Lonchura striata: one gene and its partners. The protein of the gene in region 2 purifies or fractionates together with the protein of the main gene of each other region. This does not show direct contact. Links are inferred from orthologs where the notes say so. Each region holds a gene or a part of one and is shown on either strand. Other genes may lie near its edges.

Region 1 (7,036 bases), about 58 Mb from region 2:
GAAATGTGTGAAGATTTGGTTTCAAATGCAGCTGATGTTACACAGTTAAAGCACATTTAGGTTCATATTTAACTTGCTGAATGCAGCTAGGGGCTCCCTTAGTAATTTTCCACCCTCCCACTGCTAGAGGGATTGAAATTCCTTATGGGAGTTCCTGTGTCTGCTAAGTAACTGCACTGTGCAGACAGCTTGCCCAGACTTTGCCGGTTTTGCTGGACAGGAATGGCCTTGGCAAAGCAATGTCCTGATTAACTAGAACCAAAACAGAAAGCAAACCTTCACTATTTTCTGTATCAGTTACTTTTCTGTTGATACTGTGAGGGCTTGATTTGTTACCTTACGACCAGTCAAGAAGACGGCTGTGTTTCAACTTCCTGCAGTCCTGGGCTTCGAAAACAATGGCTGTAATGGGCACTGTGGATTATGGGCTGTACTTAACACCTTGTTTGGGTTTTAGTAAAATAGATATGGGTCTGGATGAAGGCTACAACCCATTTAAAAAGGTCTGGCTTGATGATATTAATTGAATCTGCACCATGATCTTCCAAACAATTTTGCTTTTTGCTATTAACAAAATCCAGCGCTACTTATTTAGAAAGAAATTGGAAGCTAGTTAGCACGTTTGAAAGCAAAGGGTCCAGAAACAAGAGGGGAAAAGAGAGGAAGAAAAATTGCCTGTAGTTAGGAGGGAAAGGAATTATAATAATTTAATACTGAAGGCTGAAAACACCTCTGAATATTACCCGTGCTAGTGGCGATTATAAAAATCACATCACTGTCTTCTACAAGACACCTGGTACCCTGAATGTGTCCTTGTGAATATTTTCAGCTAAGAAGCTGAAAATAAAGATGAGTTTTTACCATCTGCTTGAAATACCATTAATGATATATACAGAAACTGGCAGATATGACTAATTAATAAGTTAGTATTTGTTAATGCTTTGAAGTTTGCAGGCTTTGGCTGCCTGGTGTCACTGCAGCAGTGCACAGAAGGGCTTCACAATTTCTCTTCCTTGCTGCTTATTCCCGAGTTGTGATATGAGAAGAAGAGTGACAGCCCATCAGGTTACTCTTCTGAAAAGCTATGCACTGAGTGAGGCAGGCTGTTCAGAGCAGAATAAACAGCACTTTATTCACCTCAAACACAGATGTAATAGAATGAGTTACGGAAATTAATGTAAGCCCTTGTTCACCTAATTTAATGTAGTTGAGCCTCTATCAGGTATTTGTCAGGAGAAATTGCGTACCTACGTTTGTCACAGACCTACAAAATAATTTTGGTTTAAAAGGACATCAACTCTGTTGAAAATGCGTCTGTTTAGATGGGATTTAGTATCCAGCTGAGTCTTGAACACAACTCCAAGGACAGAGATTCCATAACCTAAGGCCGCCTGTTCCAGTATTCGACCAGTGCCATTGTTAATCCGAAAAACTAAATACAGAGCCCTTTTTCTACATAAACAGCGCTTTTGGGCGGCTTTGCTCAGTCTGGTGGGTATCTGTGTGTGGGGACCGCGGTGCTCCCCGTGCGCCCCGCAGGTACCGAGCGCAGGGAAAGGGATGGGGAATGGAACTGGGAATGGGAAACAGCCACAGCCCCCGGCTCCCGCCTGGCGTGCCTCTGTTACGGGCGTAAAAACCAGCGCACAGCTCGGACAAGCAAAACGCGCAGCCGCCTTCTAAAGGACTTTGTTTCTTGCCCCTTACGGACGAACAGCGCGCCCCGAGCGCCCCGGGGCGTGGCTGCGGCGCTGCTGCTGCTCCCGCTGGGCACGGGTGACCCCACTACTCCCCTGGCAGCTCCTGCCCGCCGAGCAGGAGTTTGGGAGCCGGGGCTGCACAGGGGTTCATTCCAGGGGTTCATTCCTGGCATTCGTTCCCTCGGGAGCGCTCCCGGCTGCACCGCCGCAACCGCGCCCCGCGGCGGGCTTTGCCCGGCTCCGACATGGCGGCCCCGGCCTCGCGCCCGTGCTCTGCCCTGCCCGGTTCCGACATGGCGGCCCCGCCTTGTGCCCGGGCTGTCCCCTGCCCGGTTCCGACATGGCGGCCCCGCCTTGTGCCCGGGCTGTCCCCTGCCCGGTTCCAAGATGGCGGACCCGCTCCCCCCGCCCCTTCCCCGCCCCTCCCGCGCGCGCGCGGCGCCGCCTCACTTCCGCTTGTGCAGCAGCCATTTTGTCTTTCCGCCGCCGCCGCTGCCCGAGCTTCTCCCTCCCTCCCGCCGCCGCGGGCCGCGACACTCCAGTTCCCCCCCGGCGCGGCTCCCGCCGGGCCGGGGCCCATCCCGACCCCCTTCCCGCACCCCGGCAGGCTCCTCCGCAGCCCCTGAGGGCTCTGAGGGCGCGATGTCCAGCGAGGAGAGCTACCTGGCCATCCTGCGGTACCTGACGAACGAGCGGGAGCCGTACGCGCCGGGCACGGAGGGCAACGCCAAGCGGAAGATCCGCAAGGCCGCCGCCTGCTACGTGGTGCGCGGCGGCACGCTGTACTACCAGCGGCGGCAGCGCGACCAGCAGCGCTTCGCCGAGCTGGAGGTGGTGCTGCAGGCCGAGCGCCGCGCCCGCCTCATCCGCGCCGCGCACCTGGCGCCCGACGGCGCGCACCGCACCCGCCTGCAGACCTGGCACGGGCTGTCCCAGCGCTACTGGTGGAGAGGTGAGAGCGCGGCTCGGCGCGGCTCGGCTCGGCTCGGCTCCCCTGATGCGGGCTCGCAGCCTGTGCCAGCGCGCCGGCGCCTTCACTCGAGTGCTCTGGTTCTGTTCTGTTCTAGCTCCTCGCGTTCTCGCGTGGAACTTCCCGTGCATTAGTTTCCCTTCCTTGTGTCATTGCTTGGCACCAGCGGGACCTCGCTCCGTGCTCCTGGCACTCTCTATTTAGATATTTACCGACATTATGCGGTCCCCTCTCAGTCGTCTCGTCTCGAGGCTGAGCGGGCGCAGTTCCCTCAGCCTTTCCTCCTAAAGAGATGATTCGGTCCCTTAACCATCTTCGTTGCCTCCGCTGTAGCCGGAGTTGCATGTCTCCCTTGTGCTGAAGGTCTCCCTTCCGTGTTCCCATCCCTGGCGGGACAGGAGGGACTGTCACTCGCTGAGTGACCAGAGCCTTTAAACGCCACCTGGAAGCAGTGTGGCAGTGAGATGTGTCACAGCCCGAGAGGCAGGGCTCACCCTGCGCGCTGCATCTGGTCAGCGCATTGTCCAGGCTTCTGGTCGGGTGCTGGCACCTTGAATAGGTAGAAACGCGGAGTACAGCTGTCCCCTCCAGGTCTTGCACGCAGCCCAGGTAAGGCAGTGGCATCTCCACTGTGCCCTTGGGATAGGGTGATAATCCAGTCCACGTCACCTGTGTTAGCTTTGGACCTCATTCGTGCATGTGATGGTGTTCGTGTTAAAGTACTGCAGCTGCCAGTGGTGGTTGGCAGTCCTGGCATTCATTGCTTTATTTGTCTCCTTCTTGCAGCGACACGCTGAAGAGACCAGGCTAATTCTCAGCTGGGTCCTGAGTGATGTCACAGCTGTTAGAAATGCTGGTGCCTGAACAGCAATCATTTCCAATTGGGATTTTCTTTTGCCTGAGGAAATGACTCCATATCTTGTTCCCTTTCGATTTGCTGTTCTGCTTTTAGCCCTAGATATCCATGAAACAAATAGCCTGCTTTTCACTTGCCATGGGCCCAGTGTGTGTTTATGTTTATATTGCTTCTCTTGTTCTGCTCTCTTCATCCATCAGCAAGTCTGTAATTTCAGCTTTAGTTTTCCCTATTTTCAGTTGGAGGGATTTTGCTCTAGCTGCAGTCAGTCCCTCCAGTCCAGATCTCATTGACTTGAAGGTATTTTCATGTGAAGAAAGGGTTTGGCATCTCAAAGCTGATACACCCATTTTTGTTTCCTTGCCTTTATTTGCATTCTCATTGTCTGCTCAGCATTGTGCTGTTCTGGCATCTACTCTTATCCTGTGCTGGAAACTTTCTCCATGGGCCTGCCTCAGTGTAGCTTCTGTTAGTCAGGAGAAGGCATTCTGTATTCTTTTGATCTTATTGGTCACCTTTATTTGCACACCCTAAATCCTCTTGCTTCTCTTACACTGAGAATACTAAAATTCATTCCATGCTTTCAGTTCAAGTGTTATGTTTCTTACATATGTCTCCCTTAAGACAATGTTTTCCCAGGCATGACAGTACTCGCTGGCTGCTATGGACAGCAGCTTTGGCCCAGCTGCCATCCTGAGAAGGACATCAGCCTGCTGTGTGTCTGTTCTGTAGCTGCAAGGCCATGGGCTGGAGAATGGCTCTGAGGCCAGGAAGGGTGTTAGAGATGTGATTTGCAGCCCCTGTCTCATTTCAGATGAAATCAAGGAGATGTACAAATGTTGAAATGGGAATTAATATCTTAGCTTGCCTTAAGTCTCTGTTTTCCTCACCCTTGCAGAGACAGGTATTTAATGATAGTGCAAGTCATGCTCTGAGGAGATGTGAGCAAGCAAGTCTTAAGTCTGGGTCAGCAAAGCTTTTGAGCTGTGCTGGATTTTAAATCATGGCCACCTGCTATACGTGCTTTTATATTGTGCTGGTGAAGAGAACGAACTTGGATTGAAAGCCATGCGTGGCAAATGCCTTGGTATCTAGAAGAGGACCCTGCACCTAGGACCTGTTGAGTGTCTGAAATGATTTACAGAATTGCAGAAGGTGCTGAGTGGGAAGGGACGCACAAGGATCACTGAATACAGCTTCTGGCCCTGCACAGGACCATCCCCAAAAGGCACAAGAGTCATTCCTGAGAGCATTGTCCAAACACTTTGTGAACTCTGTCAGGCTTGGTGCTGTGACTGCTTCCCTGGGAAGCCTGTTCCGGGCCCAAACACCCTCTGGATGAAGAACCTGTTGTTAATATCCTACCTAAACCTCCCCTGACACAAATGCAGGCTATTTCCTTGGGTGCTCTCATTTATATTTAGTTCCACTGGTTAAAGTAGTGGTGGGAAATGGAGTTATTTAAATCCCAAAATCATAAGCAATTGTTTTAAATCAGCATTAATAGTTCCCATCAGTGTCATTGCATGTAGCACCGTTGATCCCAATTTTGCTAAAGCTCATAAGTGAGCCTTCCAATTCTTGTCCTCTTCAGGAGGAGCAAGCCATTTGTGTGGGCTAAATACAGGATTACATTACATTTGTCATTACCTTGGGATGATGAGACTAAATTTCTGAATACCGTGTTGGGTTTTGTTTTAGCCTTAATAACCTTTCTAGGAGGGTTTTCTTGATGTAGTGGTATTCAGAATGTTCTGTCTCAAATTAGCAGTAGAGACATACAATATATTGCAATGGTGAGACAATAGAATTGATAATATTGCATTAGAGAGGGAGAGTGTAGGTGACTCGCTTTATTTTTCTTGGTTAGTATGTAATATTTTTGATTATTATTGATATTTTGCTAATCTTCTACATAGTTATTTGTTTACAGTAAATGGAATTAAGATTAGAAGCCTAATCAAGCTCCATTAATTTTTTTTAGGTATTCTTAAGCAGGTTAAAGATTACATTAAAGAATGCAGCAAGTGCCAGGAAAAGCTAGATCGTTCTAGATCTCTGTCAGATCCTTCTGAAATGCTGGAGGAGCTAGGACTGGATGCAAAATCTCATGAAGACAGTAATGAAACAGATGATGAATTGAGTAACACAGCATCAATCCCAGCAGCATCCCCAAAGCCTGTGAAGAAGAAGCCAATAGCAAAGCACGAGCTTGTGTTTGTAAGTACCACTGTTTACAGCTGAATAGATTTGCATTTTCTATTACTGCTTTCTTGGTCATGTACTTCTTTTCCATTGTTGTGGTAATCTTGTTACAGCAAGACTATAAATTTTGCCAAAGATACCGAATATGTAGAAATGGGATACTGGTGTATATGTCATGAAATTAATTACAGGACACCATTGCTGGGAAATAAAATCACCCTATATATTACGCATATAGAATCTAAGGTAAAGTGAATGGCAGTAGTAAAACATCACATACCCGATTCTTATGGGCTCTATATCTTTCTCTTAACACATGATGCTGTACTGATATGTAAACTTCTTGTTCATAACTGCAGGCTCACATGCACATAAAAGACATTTGAATTTAGAAACTTTTTCAGACTGTAACATAGAAAAATACAGTCAAAGAGCTGTTTGAATATGTCTTCCCATTTTCCCAGTTGGTTTTAATTGTGTTTGGAGGGAGGGTGAAACTTAAAGAAAGAAAACAATAGTAAAGTTAAGCTGTATATTCTCCAGGCTTGAACTGATTGTATGGTTGCAGAAAATAATCCTTTTCTGTGTTTCAGTGTGAATGCTTAAAAAGGCACAATCTAAATGTAATGAAGTTCTTAAATGTTGTTTATGACAGGTTGACAGTAAGGGCCTTGTGAAGCAGTCATCTTCCAAACATTGTCTGTCAGTCTTAAACCAGCTGAATCAGCAGAGGCTTTCCAATCAGTTCTGTGATGTGACTTTGCTGATTGAAGGAGAGGAGTACAAAGCTCACAAATCTGTCTTGGCAGCCAACAGCGAGTACTTCCGAGAGCTCTTCATTGAAAAGGGAGCTGTCACTAGTCATGAAGCTGTAGTGGATCTGTCAGGTGAATTGCTGTGGGTTTCAAAGCTAGAAATCTATAATATCCTAAGTAAGGTGTACGGTATTTAATTCAGTCTTTTTTGAGTGTTAAAGACAACCAAATTTTATCTTGCTTTTTTCTCTATTTTAATCTAGAAATATTTTGTGTGGATTGTAATGCAAAAGTGATCACTCTGATTTTGCCTAATCTGATTTTCCATGGACTGTGGTATTTAACCTTAAAATTTCTGAGAAGCTTTTGAGGGATTTTTACCTTGCTTAGGCATGTTCCCTCCTTGTATTAGTCACAAATGTTAAAAAGGGAACAAAGTCGAATGCTTGGGTGCATCAAGTGGGGATGTTGACAAGCTGCTTGGAGAGTAGTTCAGCTTAACAAATGCTAAATTGCTTCTTGTTTCTGTGAAGCAGAATTATACGTGTCT
Region 2 (7,178 bases):
AGAATCACAGGATATATGGATTGAAATAACAACACATTGCTCTCTCTGAGAAAAGTTAATGGGTTTGGCCATAGAGTAAAACCACAGCAACTTGAAGCACACAGCTGAAAAGAGCATTTCCAATTCTCTGCTTACTGGTGAGAGTTCTTCCCTTTGCTAGAAACCAGTCTTCCAAAAGCAACTACATTACACTGCTACAGTACAGTAATTCTGTTTGCTAAGCTGACTTCTACTCAAGACTTCTACCTGGAATCTAGTAAGCATGAACATAGCTAAGATACAAGCTTTAAACCTGCATAAATATTTGTACAGCACAGCTGCCAAAACTCTATCCCACCAAGACAGGGAAAAAAGAAGGGAAGTAGGACTTGCCTTAGCTCTAATTCAGACCAGTGTCTTTTTCTAGCAGATGTCACATAAAGTGTTTATGCCACCAAGGACTTATGTGGCCAGAACAGCTTCTAGCAGTGGCACGAGTTCTAACTGTGTAACATACACACACCTCTATAGAGGTACAGCACATAAATCTAGATCCTTGGGGGGTCTCTGAGAAAGGGGCAGGCAGTAGGCAGCAGTAACTTGATCCACTTTTACTGATGCCTTCCTGAGATTTAAAGTCATTCAAAAGCAGCTGTCATTATGGAAACACTCATGGCTACAGGTATTCCACATGGCAGGGATGTGAGGCAATGCACATATTAAAATTGGTTCATATTATGCTGAGAGGTGAAGCACCAAGCAGGGCCTGACTCTGATACTGAACATCACAGGCATATTCAGGTGCAGAGGCAACTGCTTTGACAGATCACCTCTCCCCCCCAAACATTATTTCCTGCGATTTATGCTGATGACGGATGCACTGATTAGAGTCAGCAACACATAAATGGATCTTCCTACAAAACTAACCCTCACCCCAGGAAAGTAAAGCAATGCCAAGCATTTTCAACAGTGTAAAACTTCTCTCTTTGTGTGCTTTTTATCAGTAGGTTACCATATCTCATCCAGACACACAGAGAAAGTAACTCCTGTAAGCTATTTGAGAAGCCAAGTCATACTGGACTAGCACTGGGAACTCCAGACTATGGACATCAGCAACAGTTACTCAGAACAAGCTTAGACTTTGTCCTCACACTCAAGTATGTGCTTTCTGCATATTTTGACTCTAAAGGCCCTTACCATGTGACCAAATTGCAGATCTGTTTCTAAACACACTGAAAAATTTGGTAAAGAGTTTGCCTGAATTAAAGGCACCTTCTGTCTCCACGTACTAGCTTACATTTTCAGTTTAAAATAAGAAGTCATTCATGATTTCACATCTTTATCATTCAGAAAGTATTAGAAGATAGATGATGATCTTTCAATTGCATCAGATCCAAGTACAGAAAGCCAAAGCACAACCTCCAGGAATTAAAGCAATCAAGAAGAATCCCAAGGACACAGTGCAGAAATGCTAGGCCAACTGGACAGAAGCCCAGCCAGGTATGAAAGAAATTACATAGCACCATGTCTACACAATCATCCCCCAGATTAGAAATATTAAGCACATGAACATAAAGATCACACATAAGACCATGCAGAACAGTGTAGCACCTGGAAATTTTCTAAGTCAGGAAAATGCTGCTCTGAGCTGTGGCACTTACCAGTTCAGAGACCACCAAGCACAATCTGCCTACTCAATCCAGGGATTTGAAAACAAGGCCTAACAACTGACACGAGTATTACTGTGTCAGGTATTAAATAATGCCTATAGAATGGGTTACATAATGTTCTGAAGCACTGAATGCACAAAGAACTGAAATAGAAGCTAGAAAAGCAAAACAACTATGTTAATCCAGGAAAAAATACAAAACCACATTGTAACAGTATTCCTTAATACTTCTGAAGACCTGGTGTCAGGGATTTTTAGCTTGTTCCCTCATGTTTTGTTTTGGTTTTTTTTTTTTAAACTACAAAATGTGAAATTTACACCATTTTTTAGATCTTTAATTATTTTTGTTGTGCCATATAGATTTGGCTATTCCAAATTGGTTTTTAAATGTCATTTATCTTTTGAAAAACTTCTACAAGTTACAGCCTAAACCCTAAAATAGTGAAAAATTTAGCTTCACCATTTTCTTTGTGGAAAGATAATTAAGTATCATTTAATGGTTCTACCACCCACTCTCTTCAAGCAGTACTAACAATTTACATCCTCTCCCCTCCCAAGTAGTTAAATAGAAATACTTAGCCACCCTCCAGCTCTGTCTTCTCATCAACCATCTAAGTAAAAATTATCTTCGAAAACACATTAAAACATACTAAGTGATGAAGACATAGAACAGGCCAGGTTGGAAGGGACCTCAAAGGATCATCTCATCTAACCTTTCATGGGAAAGCCTGCCTAGATTAGAGTATCTAGCAACCTGCCTATTCGAGTCTTGAAAACCTCCAGTGATGGGGACTCTACCACGTCCGTGGGGAGGGTGTTTCAGTGAGAGATCGTTCCCACTACATAAAAATTATTTTCTATGCAGATGAATGGAAGATCAGTCGTGATGCCCACAAAATGTAGGGAGTGGAATAAAGTAGACCAGGGCAAAATAAAAACTAAGATGAAAAACTTCTCTTCAATAAACTTGGGGTTTTATACCCACAAATCTTAACGGATGTAGTTGTGTGAGCTATCATCTACCTACACGGAAGAGAAAGTTGGTTTGTTTTGCTTTCCCCCCCCAACCCCTTCTTTGCCACACAGGCAACACGAGCACTGTGGCAGGTCTGCGCCGGGCTCCCCTGCAGCCCGACCTCACCTGAGCCGGGTTCCCGAGGGACCCCCGAGGGACCCCCGAGGGACCCGGCCCGGCCCGGCCCGGCCCGGCCCTCACCTGCGCCGCCACCCCCGGGTCCCGGTCGACGTCCGCGTCCGAGAACCTGCCAAGGAAACACAACGCCGTCAGCGGGCGGGCGGGCGGCGGGGCCGCGGGGGAGGCAGGGCGGAGGAGGGCGCTCACCGCGGCGGGGCCGCTGCCGCCGCCTCCTCCATGCCGCCCGTCGCCCCCCGAAACTTCTGGAGCCGCCCCGGGCCCGCGCCGCTCGCACCGCGCCAGGCCGCGCGCGCGGGCTGCCGGGAGGCGCGGGAGCGGCCGCGCGCGCCCCGCCCCGCCCGCCGCGCAGCGCCCCCTGCCTGCCGCCGGGGAGACGGCGCCTCGGGCTCCGAGCTGCCGAGGATTTGTATCGAAGCCGGCAATTTTTTTTCCGGTTGTTAACCGGTAGCTGTAGCAGGGATGGTTGAGTAGTTGCGCAGTTGCGTTGTGAGCATCGTAGGCGTGGCTGATGGGCGGTGTTAAAGGAAAAGGGAGCACAATCACCAGAGGAGCTGGCTGTCAGCAGGCTGGGCAGAGCTGCGGAAAGGTCACTGCGGCAGTGGGACGTGGGGACGCCCCGACACCTCCTAAAGCAGGGCAGAGGGAGGGAAGAACTGCAAGAGATCGCAGAGTCCGTTTGGCTGGAAATGATCATCGAGTCCCGCCGCTGACTGAACACCACCGTGACAGCCAGGCCAAGTCCAGTATTTCCTTAAACACCTCCAGGGATGGTGACTCCACCTCCTCCTCCCTGGGCAGCCCATTCCAGTATCTGCTTGCCCTCATTCTTCCTAATATCCAACCTAAACCTCCACTGGTGCAGTTTATAATACCTCTAGCAAGAGAGGTTAGAGTATTAATTAACAAAAAAGTTATAAAATCTGTAACCAGTGGAGGCCTTTGTTTGTTAAAATTTATAACCAGTGTGAAGTTTTAGTAATCAGAGAACCAGCCTTTTGTGGGTTATGACCTAGCTCCCTACTTTGTGCAAATCAGAATAAAAACTAGAAATACCTCTCAGTGTGTCAGCTGGTGCTGTGCACCAGGCACCCAGCCCATGTTCAGGACAACAGGGTGGTGGACAGGACTTCACAAAGACAGCCTGTGGCCTCCATCCTCCTCCACCTCCTCCAGATGGCATTTCCTTCTGTGTGCCTCAAAAATAAACTAGTGCCTTTTTTCCCTCTGTGGCTTCACACATGTGTGGACAAGAACCAAGGCTTCAATTTTTATTTTCTGACTCAGAGGTGGCTGGGACTTAAGCTGTCATGTTTTGTTTGGCTGCTGCCACAGGCACAAAGGCAGCTGTGACGGGAGGGGTTGCTCAAACTCCCAATGTGAGCTCTCATTTTATTATTTGCTCCAGCTTCTCCCTTCCTTTGCCATATCAACGAGAGTTCAAAGCACAGATCCACCCGGCTGGCACACCAGAGCCCAAGGGATATGGGGAGGGAGTGATTTCCATTTACTGTGTGTTACACAACAGTCCGCTGCTGGAGACACATTATTGCTGCTGGAGATTTCCACCACTTCTCCAACTGACAAAAACTAAACTGACAAATCATTTTCCATGTGTAATAGCTGCATCTATGGCATGAAATTTTGTTGGTGAAGCTGTAATCTTATGGTGCAAATTTCTTTCCCCCCACATTTCCAGTAAACACCAAAGCAATGTCCCTGTATCTAAAACCACTTATGTCAGTCAAGCATTACCACTTCAGATTTTCTAGAACTATGAAAGGAAAACATCCCTATGTTGTAGTTTGATTTAAAAAATTAGCCTCCCTCTCCAGTGCTTCTGTCAATCTAACACAGCCCTCAGAGTGAGGACTATTACCAGATATGCTTCCACAAAGCTTATCCACATTCCTGAAAATATTGCCAGCACTCCCTAGCTGCAGGGAGTGCTGTCAGATAAACAACCACTGGTGTGGGTATGACCAGCCTTCCTGTAAATTGGGTGAGGCACTGGGTTTGCAGGTGGAAACGTGGCTGTAAAGAGTCAGAGAGAAGCATTGAACTAACAGGGCAGCTGTGGCAGAGAATTGCTTGTTCAATAGTTTCTAGAGTTCCTTCTGTCAAGCAGCAAGACCATACTCTCTCTGCCACTCTTCTACTCCTATTAGTTTTTCTAGTATTAGTGCTCCAAGTCATATTTAACCTTAACAACCAATCAATAAAACTCCAACATTAATTCAATCATAGAAAGTCATATTCCCTTTCATTTTATACTGACAGAATCATAATACCAGGCACAATATTTATTATTAACTTGCCCTCTACTTAAACACTGCAACATGCAAGTTTTTGAAGCCCTAATAGTTTGGGCTGTCAGTTGTATCATACAAGTTACAACCACCTTTGTGAATTACACTCAGAATTTCGTGTTGTTTCTTTGTCACATACTGGGAAGTGATGGAAAAGAAGTTTAAGTCCAGTTCCTGGATTTATCACAACCTTCAGTTCAGTTACAAAAATATACATTACTGCTGTTTCAAAGGATACTGACAGCACACTGACTGACTGCGTTAAAGTCTGTTCAGAAGTGATTTGTGAATTGCTCATGTTCCACCATAGACCCACACTGACTAATCACCCTGTACTGTTTCTCACTGTATTTTACTTATTCATGGTGATCGTCAAAACTTTATAATAATAAAAAACATTTTGGAGTAAATACAGGAAAATGTTTTTTCCATTTGATTTATTTTCATAATAAACCAATTAAAAATACAAAAGAAGGACCCAAGGTTCCATGGGCTCCATCATTTAAAAATTTGTCTTTAAATACAAAGTCACTCAGTAATATGAATACATATAACATTAGACCTCTAAACATAACAATCTTATTGATCTTATTTGCATCTATCAAAAGTTTGTATGGAAAAAATTAGCTGAAAAAACTTCCCTGCAACATTGAATATACAGTATTTACAATCAAAACCAAGAACTCTTAGCAGTATTAATCTCCAAAAACCTGCATAAATTGTATATATTTAATTTCCCTCCCCCCTTACAAAATAATCTGAAGTAGAAAGCAAGATTGTTAAGCTTCATAGTCGCAAAATGGCATAAAACATTTGCACCTGTAGTGATGCCGTTAGCTTCTGTAATTAAATATATCTGATGTTTCCATATAAAATATAGACATGGCATTGTCCATTTCTGGAATACTTGTTTTGAATACTCTCAGTAGGAGTGTATATTCAATTTTGCACACACAAGAACTTGTGCTGCAAAACATCCAAGAGGATACCTGGTTATCAAAGTCTAAAACTGATGTCATTCACTGATATGAAACAGGTACTCAATCACAAATATTCAGACACATGGAATGAAACTGTCTTACTAAAACTAACTGCTGCTTCCAAAGGTGATACACATACAGATTAAACAGAAAAGGTTACAATAACATTACTGTAATGTAAATCAGCAACAGACTGACACCAAAATAAGAGAAGTTTGAAACTTTGGCCAACAACCTCAGGAGAAAGTCTTAATAGAATAAAAAGCATGTTCCTTCATGCCTGTACTTTGAAAAATGAGTAATATATAATTTTATTTATATGATAACATTTAGCAATTAACAGAAAATCAAAATCCATTTTAAAGCATGAATTCTAAGAATTAACTGCAGAATTTTAGTAGCTTTGCAACAATCATGCTTCAGAATCAAATAATATATACATAACTGAAAAGGTCCCATCACATTTATGAAAATAATCATCCACAGGAGTTTTTTTAAAATTATTTAATTATCAATACAAATTGGGTTCCAATGGCTCATTTTCTTGCTTCACTTGCATGTTAGATGGGAAATTATTCGAACTGGACACTACCATCACAAATGGTTGCTGCTGGAATCTCTGCTCTGACTGCTCAGTATCTTCTGCTTTGTCACTCTCCTCCTTTTCCTCTTCTTGTAGGTCAACCTGCTTCATGTCCGGTGCTTTAATGACCGAAGTGATCACCGTGCCTGATGGCTGAGACACCACCTGTGAGCTGCTGGGCGAGAACGTCACCACAGGGGTGGTGGCACTGAAGGATGGAGATGAAGCCATGTTGACTGTTCCATTGCAAATTGTCTGCACGCTGCTGGTGAGCACCTGCTGAACTTGTGCTGGACTCAGCACAATCGAGGAAGGAGGTGAGACTGGCTTCTGAGACTGTAGCATGATGTTTTCTTTAAGAACCGTCATGGGCTGGGAAGTAGGAATGGCTTGTAAAATGAATTTCTGTGCTGTTGTTACTGAGGCTGGATCTGTACTGGCTATCACTGTAGTAAGAGGCACTGTCTGGAGTGTTACAGCATGCAGCTGCTGATTTCCAGGAGAA
Region 3 (7,175 bases), on a different chromosome or scaffold from region 2:
GAATTCCCTGGAAAAGGCAGGAATTCCCTGGAAAAGGCAGGAATTCCCATGGAAAGGCAGGAATTCCCTGGAAAAGGCAGGAATTCCCATGGAAAGGCAGGAATTCCCATGGAAAAGGCAGGAATTCCCACGGAAAAGGCAGGAATTCCCTGGAAAAGGCAGGAATTCCCATGGAAAGGCAGGAATTCCCATGGAAAGGCAGGAATTCCCACTGAAAGGCAGGAATTCCCATGGAAAAGGCAGGAATTCCCATGGAAAGGCAGGAATTCCCTGGAAAAGGCAGGAATTCCCATGGAAAAGGCAGGAATTCCCTGGAAAAGGCAGGAATTCCCTGGAAAAGGCAGGAATTCCCATGGAAAGGCAGGAATTCCCACGGAAAGGCAGGAATTCCCATGGAAAGGCAGGAATTCCCATGGAAAAAGGCAGGAATTCCCTGGAAAAGGCAGGAATTCCCTGGAAAAGGCAGGAATTCCCATGGAAAGGCAGGAATTCCCATGGAAAGGCAGGAATTCCCACTGAAAGGCAGGAATTCCCATGGAAAAGGCAGGAATTCCCATGGAAAGGCAGGAATTCCCTGGAAAAGGCAGGAATTCCCATGGAAAGGCAGGAATTCCCATGGAAAAAGGCAGGAATTCCCATGGAAAGGCAGGAATTCCCATGGAAAAGGCAGGAATTCCCTGGAAAAGGCAGGAATTCCCTGGAAAAGGCAGGAATTCCCATGGAAAAAGGCAGGAATTCCCATGGAAAAGGCAGGAATTCCCATGGAAAAGGCAGGAATTCCCATGGAAAGGCAGGAATTCCCATGGAAAAGGCAGGAATTCCCTGGAAAAAGGCAGGAATTCCCACGGGAAAAGGCAGGAATTCCCATGGAAAGGCAGGAATTCCCATGGAAAAGGCAGGAATTCCATGGAAAAGGCAGGAATTCCCATGGAAAAAGGCAGGAATTCCCACGGAAAAGGCAGGAATTCCCATGGAAAGGCAGGAATTCCCATGGAAAGGCAGGAATTCCCATGGAAAAGGCAGGAATTCCCTGGAAAAGGCAGGAATTCCCATGGAAAGGCCGCTGGGGTTACCTCCCGTGGCAGAATCCCGGGAATGCCGCAGGGCTGCGCTGGCCTCGCTCTCTGCCGGGAATTTCTCCCAAAATTCTCCCATTTTTCCCTCTCGTCTCCCACAGGCGGCGCCGCGAGGTCCGGCAGGACGGATCTGATCCCAGGAAAGAGAAAAAAACGGGAAAAGTCACCTGGAAATCCCCGGAAAAAACACCCGGAAATGCCGGGGAAAGCCACCAGGAAATTCCAGGATAAACCACCTGGAATTTTCTGCATAAACCACCTGGAAATTCCTGGAAAAAACACCTGGAAATTCCTAGGAGAACCACCTGGAATTTCCTGGAAAAATCACCTGGAATTTCCTAGAAAAAACACCTGGAAATTCCTAGAAAAAACACCTGGAAATTCCTAGAAAAAACACCTGGAAATTCCTGGAAAAGCCACCTGGAAATTCCTGGAAAAATCACCTGGAATTTCCTGGAAAAATCACCTGGAATTTCCTGGAAAAAACACCTGGAATTTTGTGCATAAACCACCTGGAAATTCCTGGAAAAGCCACCTGGAAATTCCTGGAAAAGCCACCTGGAAAAATCACCTGGAATTTCCTGGAAAAATCACCTGGAATTTCCTGGAAAAGCCACCTGGAATTTCCTGGAAAAGCCACCTGGAAATTCCTGGAAAAGCCAATTCCCACCTGGAATTCCCAACGATGGGAAGAAATCCTGCCCTGCTCTGCTTTTTTTTTTGGGAATTTTGGGAATAACGGAGCCCCCAGCCAGGCTTGGACAGGGATCCACACTCAGAAATTTGGGAATTCCATTCCCAGTGGGATCCAAACTGAGAAATTTGGGAACTCCAGCCCAGTTCCCACTGGGATCCAAGCTCAGAAATTTGGGAATATTTTGGATTTTTCCCCAAATTTCCCTGGATTTTGTCCAAAATTTCCCTGGAGTCTTCCCCAAATTCTCTTGGATTGTTCCCCAGATTCTCTCCCCAAATTTTTCCATATTTTCCCCAAATTCTACTGGATTTTCCCCAGATTATTTTGGATTTTCCAAAAACGTCTCTGGATTCTCCCCCAAAATGTTTCTGGATTTTCCCCAAAATGTCTCTGGATTTCTCTCCAAATTTTTCTGGAGTCTTTCCCAAATTATTTGGGATTTCCCCCCAAAATTATTTTGGATTTTCCCCCAAATTCCTCTGGAGTTCCCCCAAATTTCTCAGGATTTTCTCCAAATTCTTTTGGATTTCCCCCAAAAATTCCTCTGGATTTTCACACAAGTTTTCCCATATTTTCCTCAAATTCTCCTGGATTTTCCCCACATTATTTCAGATTCCCCCCAAATTTCTCCATATTCTCCCCAAATTTTTCTGGATTTCCCCCCAAATTTTCTCTGAATTTATCCCCAAATTCTTTTGGATCTCCCCCCAAATTATTTGGGACTTTCCCCAAAATTTCTCTGGATTTCCCCCATATTCCTCTGATTTTTTCCCAAATTTCCCCCAAATTTCTCCATATTCTCCCCAAATTCTTTTGGATCGTTCCCCAAATTATTTCCGATTTCCCCCCAATTAATTTTGGATTTCTTCCCCAAATTTCCCTGAATTTCCCACCAAATCATTTTGGATTTTCCTCAAATTCCTCTGGATTTTCCCCAAAATTCCTCTGGATTTCTCCCCCAAATTCTTTTGGATTTTCCCCAAACATTCCTCGGGATTTTCCCCAGAATTTTCCCAAATTTCCCTGTATTCTCCCCAAATTCTTTTGGATTTTCCCCAAAAATTTATCTGGATTTTCCCCAAATTCTTTTCAATTTCCCCCGAAATTCCCCCGGCTTTTCCCGTTCCATTCCCGGTACCCGCTTCCCCCCCCCCCCGCGGCCTCTCCCGGTGCTACCGGGAGCCCCGAGCAGCGCCCCGGGGCCGCTCCGCCGCCGCTCCCACAGCGCACGTACCGCGGGGGGCGGGCCCGGCCCGCCCGGGGCCTCTCGGGGCCTCCCGGTGCCGCCCGGTGCCGCCCGGGGCTCAGCGGCGGCCGCGGCCTCCTCCCGGTGCCGCCGCCGCCGCGCCGGAAGTGCCGCCCTGGCCGGAAGTGCCGCCCTGGCCGGAAGTGCCGCCCTGGCCGGAAGTGCCGCCCTGGCCGGAAGTGCTGCCCTGGCCGGAAGTGCCGCCCTGGCGGGAACTCGGTGGTAAAGGCGGAGAATGAGGGAATGAGGGGGCGTGGTTTAGCCTCCTAGTCCCGCCTTTTCTCCATCGCTATTGGTTGGGCATGCTGCTCGTCAACCGCCTCCCCGCGCGCTGATTGGCTGCGGTGGAGGACTTCCGGGATCGCCCGCGGCGGCGGCGGCGGCGCCGGTCCCGGTGAGCGCGCGGCGGGCGGGGCGGGCGCCCCCTGGCGGCGGGACCGGAGGAAGGGAGCGCGTCCCGGTCCCGGTCCCGTTCCCGGTCCTGCTCCCGGCTCTGCTCCCGGTCCTGCTCCCGGCTCTGGTTCTGCTCCCGGTCCTGGTCCCGGTCCCGGTGGCCCCGGAGTGTCTCTCGTGGGTAGTCCCGATCCCGCGGTCCTGTCCCCGGTGTCCCGGCCGCCCTCGCGTGGCGGGACGGGAGGGAGCGCGGTCCCGGTTCCACTCCCGGTCCTGGTCCTGGTTCTGCTCCCGGTCCCGTTCCCGGTTCTGCTCCTGCTCCCGGTCCTGTTCCTGCTCCCGGTCCCGCTCCTGGTCCCGGTGTCCCCGGAGTGTCGCTCTTGGGTAGTCCCGTTCTTGTCCCCGGTGTCCCGGCCGCCCCCGCGTCCCCGCGGTCCGGTGGTCCCGATGCCCATCCGGGATGTTCCCGGTGTCCCTCCGGGATGTTCCCGGTCCCGGTGTCCCTCCGGGATGTTCCCGGTCCCGGTGCCCATCCGGGATGTTCCCGATGCCCATCCGGGATGTTCCCGGTGTCCCTCCGGGATGTTCCCGGTCCCGGTGCCCATCCGGGATGTTCCCGGTCCCGGTGTCCCTCCGGGATGTCCCCAAGCTCCACCCGCGATGTCCCGCCCGGCTCCCGCCGCTCCATCCCCGGGTCCCGGTGTCCCCAAGGTGCCACTCAGTGTCCCCAGGGTGATACTCAGTGTCCCCAAGGTGCCATTCCCTGTCCCCAGGGTGCCATTCCACGTCCCCAGGTGCCACCCCGTGTCCCCATGGGTCCCATCCATATCCCCGCTGTCCCCTCAGGTGCCACCCCGTGTCCCCAGGGTGCCACCCCGTGTCCCCAGGGTGCCATTTGGTGTCCCCAGGCTGCCACCCCGCATCCCCAAGGTGCCATTCTGTGTCCCCCAGGTGCCACTCGGTGTCCCCAAGGTGCCATTCCCTGTCCCTGCTGTCCCCAGGGTGCCACCCCGTGTCCCCAAGGTGCCACTCAGTGTCCCCAAGGTGACATGTGGTGTCCCCAGGGTGCCATTTGGTGTCCCCAAGGTGCCACCCCTGTCCCCAAGGTGCCATTTGGTGTCCCTGCTGTCCCCAGGGTGCCATTTGGTGTCCCCAAGGTGCCATTCCCTGTCCCCAAGGTGCCACCCCGTGTCCCCAGGGTGCCATTTGGTGTCCCTGCTGTCCCCAGGGTGCCACCCCGTGTCCCCAGGGTGCCATTTGGTGTCCCTGCTGTCCCCAGGGTGCCACCCCGTGTCCCCAGGGTGCCACCCCTGTCCCCGCCGGCCGCGCCGCCGCCATGAGCGCCGAGACGTTGGTCAAGGACGTCAAACCCGGCCTCAAGAACCTCAACCTCATCTTCATCGTGCTGGAGACCGGTCGGTGCCACCCCCGTGTGCCCCCCGTGCCCCGGGTCACCCCGATGTCCCCGGGTCACCCCGATGTCCCCAGGGTCACCCCGATGTCCCCGGGTGACCCCGATGTCCCTGGGTGCCCCCGATGTCCCTGGGTGCCCCCGATGTCCCCAGGGTCACCCCGATGTCTCCGGGTCACCCCAATGTCCCCAGGGTGCCCCCGATGTCCCCAGGGTCACCCCGATGTCCCCAGGGTGCCCCCGATGTCCCCAGGGTCACCCTGATGTCCCCAGGGTCACCCCGATGTCCCTGGGTGCCCCCGATGTCCCCGGGTCACCCCGATGTCCCCAGGGTCACCCTGATGTCCCCGGGTGACCCCGATGTCCCCAGGGTGCCCCCAATATCCCCAGGGTCACCCCGATGTCCCAGGGTCACCCCGATGTCCCCGGGTCACCCCAATGTCCCCAGGGTGCCCCCGATGTCCCTGGGATCACCCCGATGTCCCCAGGGTGCCCCCGATGTCCCTGGGTCACCCCGATGTCCCCGGGTCACCCCGATGTCCCTGGGGTCACCCCGATGTCCCCAGGGTGCCCCCGATGTCCCTGGGTCACCCCGATGTCCCCGGGTCACCCCAATATCCCCAGGGTCACCCCGATGTCCCCAGGGTCACCCCGATGTCCCTGGGTCACCCCGATATCCCCAGGGTCACCCCAATGTCCCCTCGCTGTCCCCCCCAGGCCGGGTGACCAAGACCAAGGACGGCCACGAGGTTCGGACGTGCAAAGTGGCCGACAAGACCGGCAGCATCAACATCTCCGTGTGGGACGACGTGGGCAACCTCATCCAGCCCGGGGACATCATCCGCCTCACCAAGGGGTACTGGGGACCTCTGGGGACACTTGGGGACACTTGGGGACACTTGGGGACACTTGGGGACACTTGGGGACCCCACTGTGACCCCCAAACCCTCCTCATCCTCAGCTACGCCTCCGTCTTCAAGGGCTGCCTGACGCTCTACACCGGCCGCGGCGGCGACCTGCAGAAGATCGGCGAGTGAGGAGCAGCCTGGGGGGTTTTTTGGGGGGTTTTTGGGGGGTTTTTGGGGTGCCAGGGGGGTTCTGGCACCGGGGGCACCCCAAAAAGCCGCGCTGCGCCCGCAGGTTCTGCATGGTTTACTCCGAGGTGCCCAACTTCAGCGAGCCCAACCCCGAGTACGCGGCGCAGCAGGCGCAGGGCAAGGGGGTGAGTGTGGGGGGCACGGGGGGTGCCCGGGGGGTCTCAGCTGAGATTGGCACGAATCTGAGGGGATTTGCACCGAATCCCCCCGGGTTGACCCCAAATTCCTAAAAAATTACATCAAATTCCAAAAAAATTACATCAAATTCCAAAAAAATTACATCAAATTCCAAAAAATTTACATCAAATTCCAAAAAATTTACATCAAATTCCAAAAAAATTACCCCAAATCCTCATGGATTTGCACCGAATCCCCCCGGGTTGACCCCAAATTCCTAAAAATTTACATCAAATTCCAAAAAATTGACCCCAAATCCTCATGGATTTGCACCGAATCCCCATGGATTAACCCCAAATTCCAAAAAATTTACATCAAATTCCAAAAAATTGACCCCAAATCCTCATGGATTTGCACCGAATCCCCCCGGGTTGACCCCAAATTCCAAAAAAATCACATCAAATTCCAAAAAAATTACATCAAATTCCAAAAAAATTACATCAAATTCCAAAAAATTTACCCTAAATCCTCATGGATTTGCACCGAATCCCCCCGGGTTGACCCCAAATTCCAAAAAATTTACCCCAAATCCTCATGGATTTGCACCGAATCCCCCCGGGTTGACCCCAAATTCCAAAAGATTTACATCAAATTCCAAAAAAATTACCCCAAATCCTCATGGATTTGCACCGAATCCCCATGGATTAACCCCAAATTCCAAAAAATTTACATCAAATTCCAAAAAATTGACCCTAAATCCTCATGGATTTGCACCGAATCCCCCTGGATTGACCCCAAATTCCAAAAAATTTACATCAAATTCCAAAAAATTTACATCAAATTCCAAAAAAATTACATCAAATCCTCATGGATTTGCACCGAATCCCCCCGGGTTGACCCCAAATTCCAAAAAAATCACATCAAATTCCAAAAAAATTACATCAAATTCCAAAAAATTTACATCAAATTCCAAAAAAATTACATCAACTTCCAAAAAATTGACCCCAAATCCTCATGGATTTGCACTGAATCCCACAAATTCCCATCAAATTTCACAAATTTACCCTAAATCTCCACAAATTTACATCAAATTTGCACAAATTTACATCAAATCCCCACAAATTTCCCCAAACCCCCC

What was found. Proteins that work in one complex are often made in the same cells at the same time.
Region 1: the proteins of SUGT1 (region 2) and CEP97 purify together in Homo sapiens (affinity purification with mass spectrometry; 3 studies listed by BioGRID and IntAct, with this or other methods). This does not show direct contact. The link is inferred for Lonchura striata from reciprocal best matches to the Homo sapiens genes SUGT1 and CEP97.
Region 3: the proteins of SUGT1 (region 2) and RNF41 purify together in Homo sapiens (affinity purification with mass spectrometry; 3 studies listed by BioGRID and IntAct, with this or other methods). This does not show direct contact. The link is inferred for Lonchura striata from reciprocal best matches to the Homo sapiens genes SUGT1 and RNF41.

The regions. Positions count from the first base shown.
Region 1 is NC_134604.1:733,961-740,996, reverse strand, and holds the start of CEP97 (centrosomal protein of 97 kDa), read right to left. Parts: upstream 3,077-7,036; 5' UTR 3,055-3,076; coding exon 2,883-3,054; intron 2,653-2,882; coding exon of another isoform or gene 2,343-2,652; exon of another isoform or gene 2,231-2,342; intron 1-2,230. Other genes in the region: ZBTB11 (zinc finger and BTB domain-containing protein 11), read left to right, coding at 2,343-2,652, 5,511-5,746, 6,387-6,618. UniProt on the Homo sapiens protein: Acts as a key negative regulator of ciliogenesis in collaboration with CCP110 by capping the mother centriole thereby preventing cilia formation. Required for recruitment of CCP110 to the centrosome.
Region 2 is NC_134604.1:59,044,050-59,051,227, forward strand, and holds the start of SUGT1 (protein SGT1 homolog), read right to left. Parts: upstream 3,096-7,178; 5' UTR 3,023-3,095; coding exon 2,991-3,022; intron 2,911-2,990; coding exon 2,865-2,910; intron 1-2,864. Other genes in the region: ELF1 (ETS-related transcription factor Elf-1), read right to left, coding at 6,602-7,178. UniProt on the Homo sapiens protein: May play a role in ubiquitination and subsequent proteasomal degradation of target proteins.
Region 3 is NC_134629.1:5,463,493-5,470,667, forward strand, and holds the start of RNF41 (E3 ubiquitin-protein ligase NRDP1), read right to left. Parts: upstream 3,077-7,175; 5' UTR 3,008-3,076; intron 1,207-3,007; 5' UTR 1,074-1,206; intron 1-1,073. UniProt on the Homo sapiens protein: Acts as E3 ubiquitin-protein ligase and regulates the degradation of target proteins. Polyubiquitinates MYD88. Negatively regulates MYD88-dependent production of pro-inflammatory cytokines.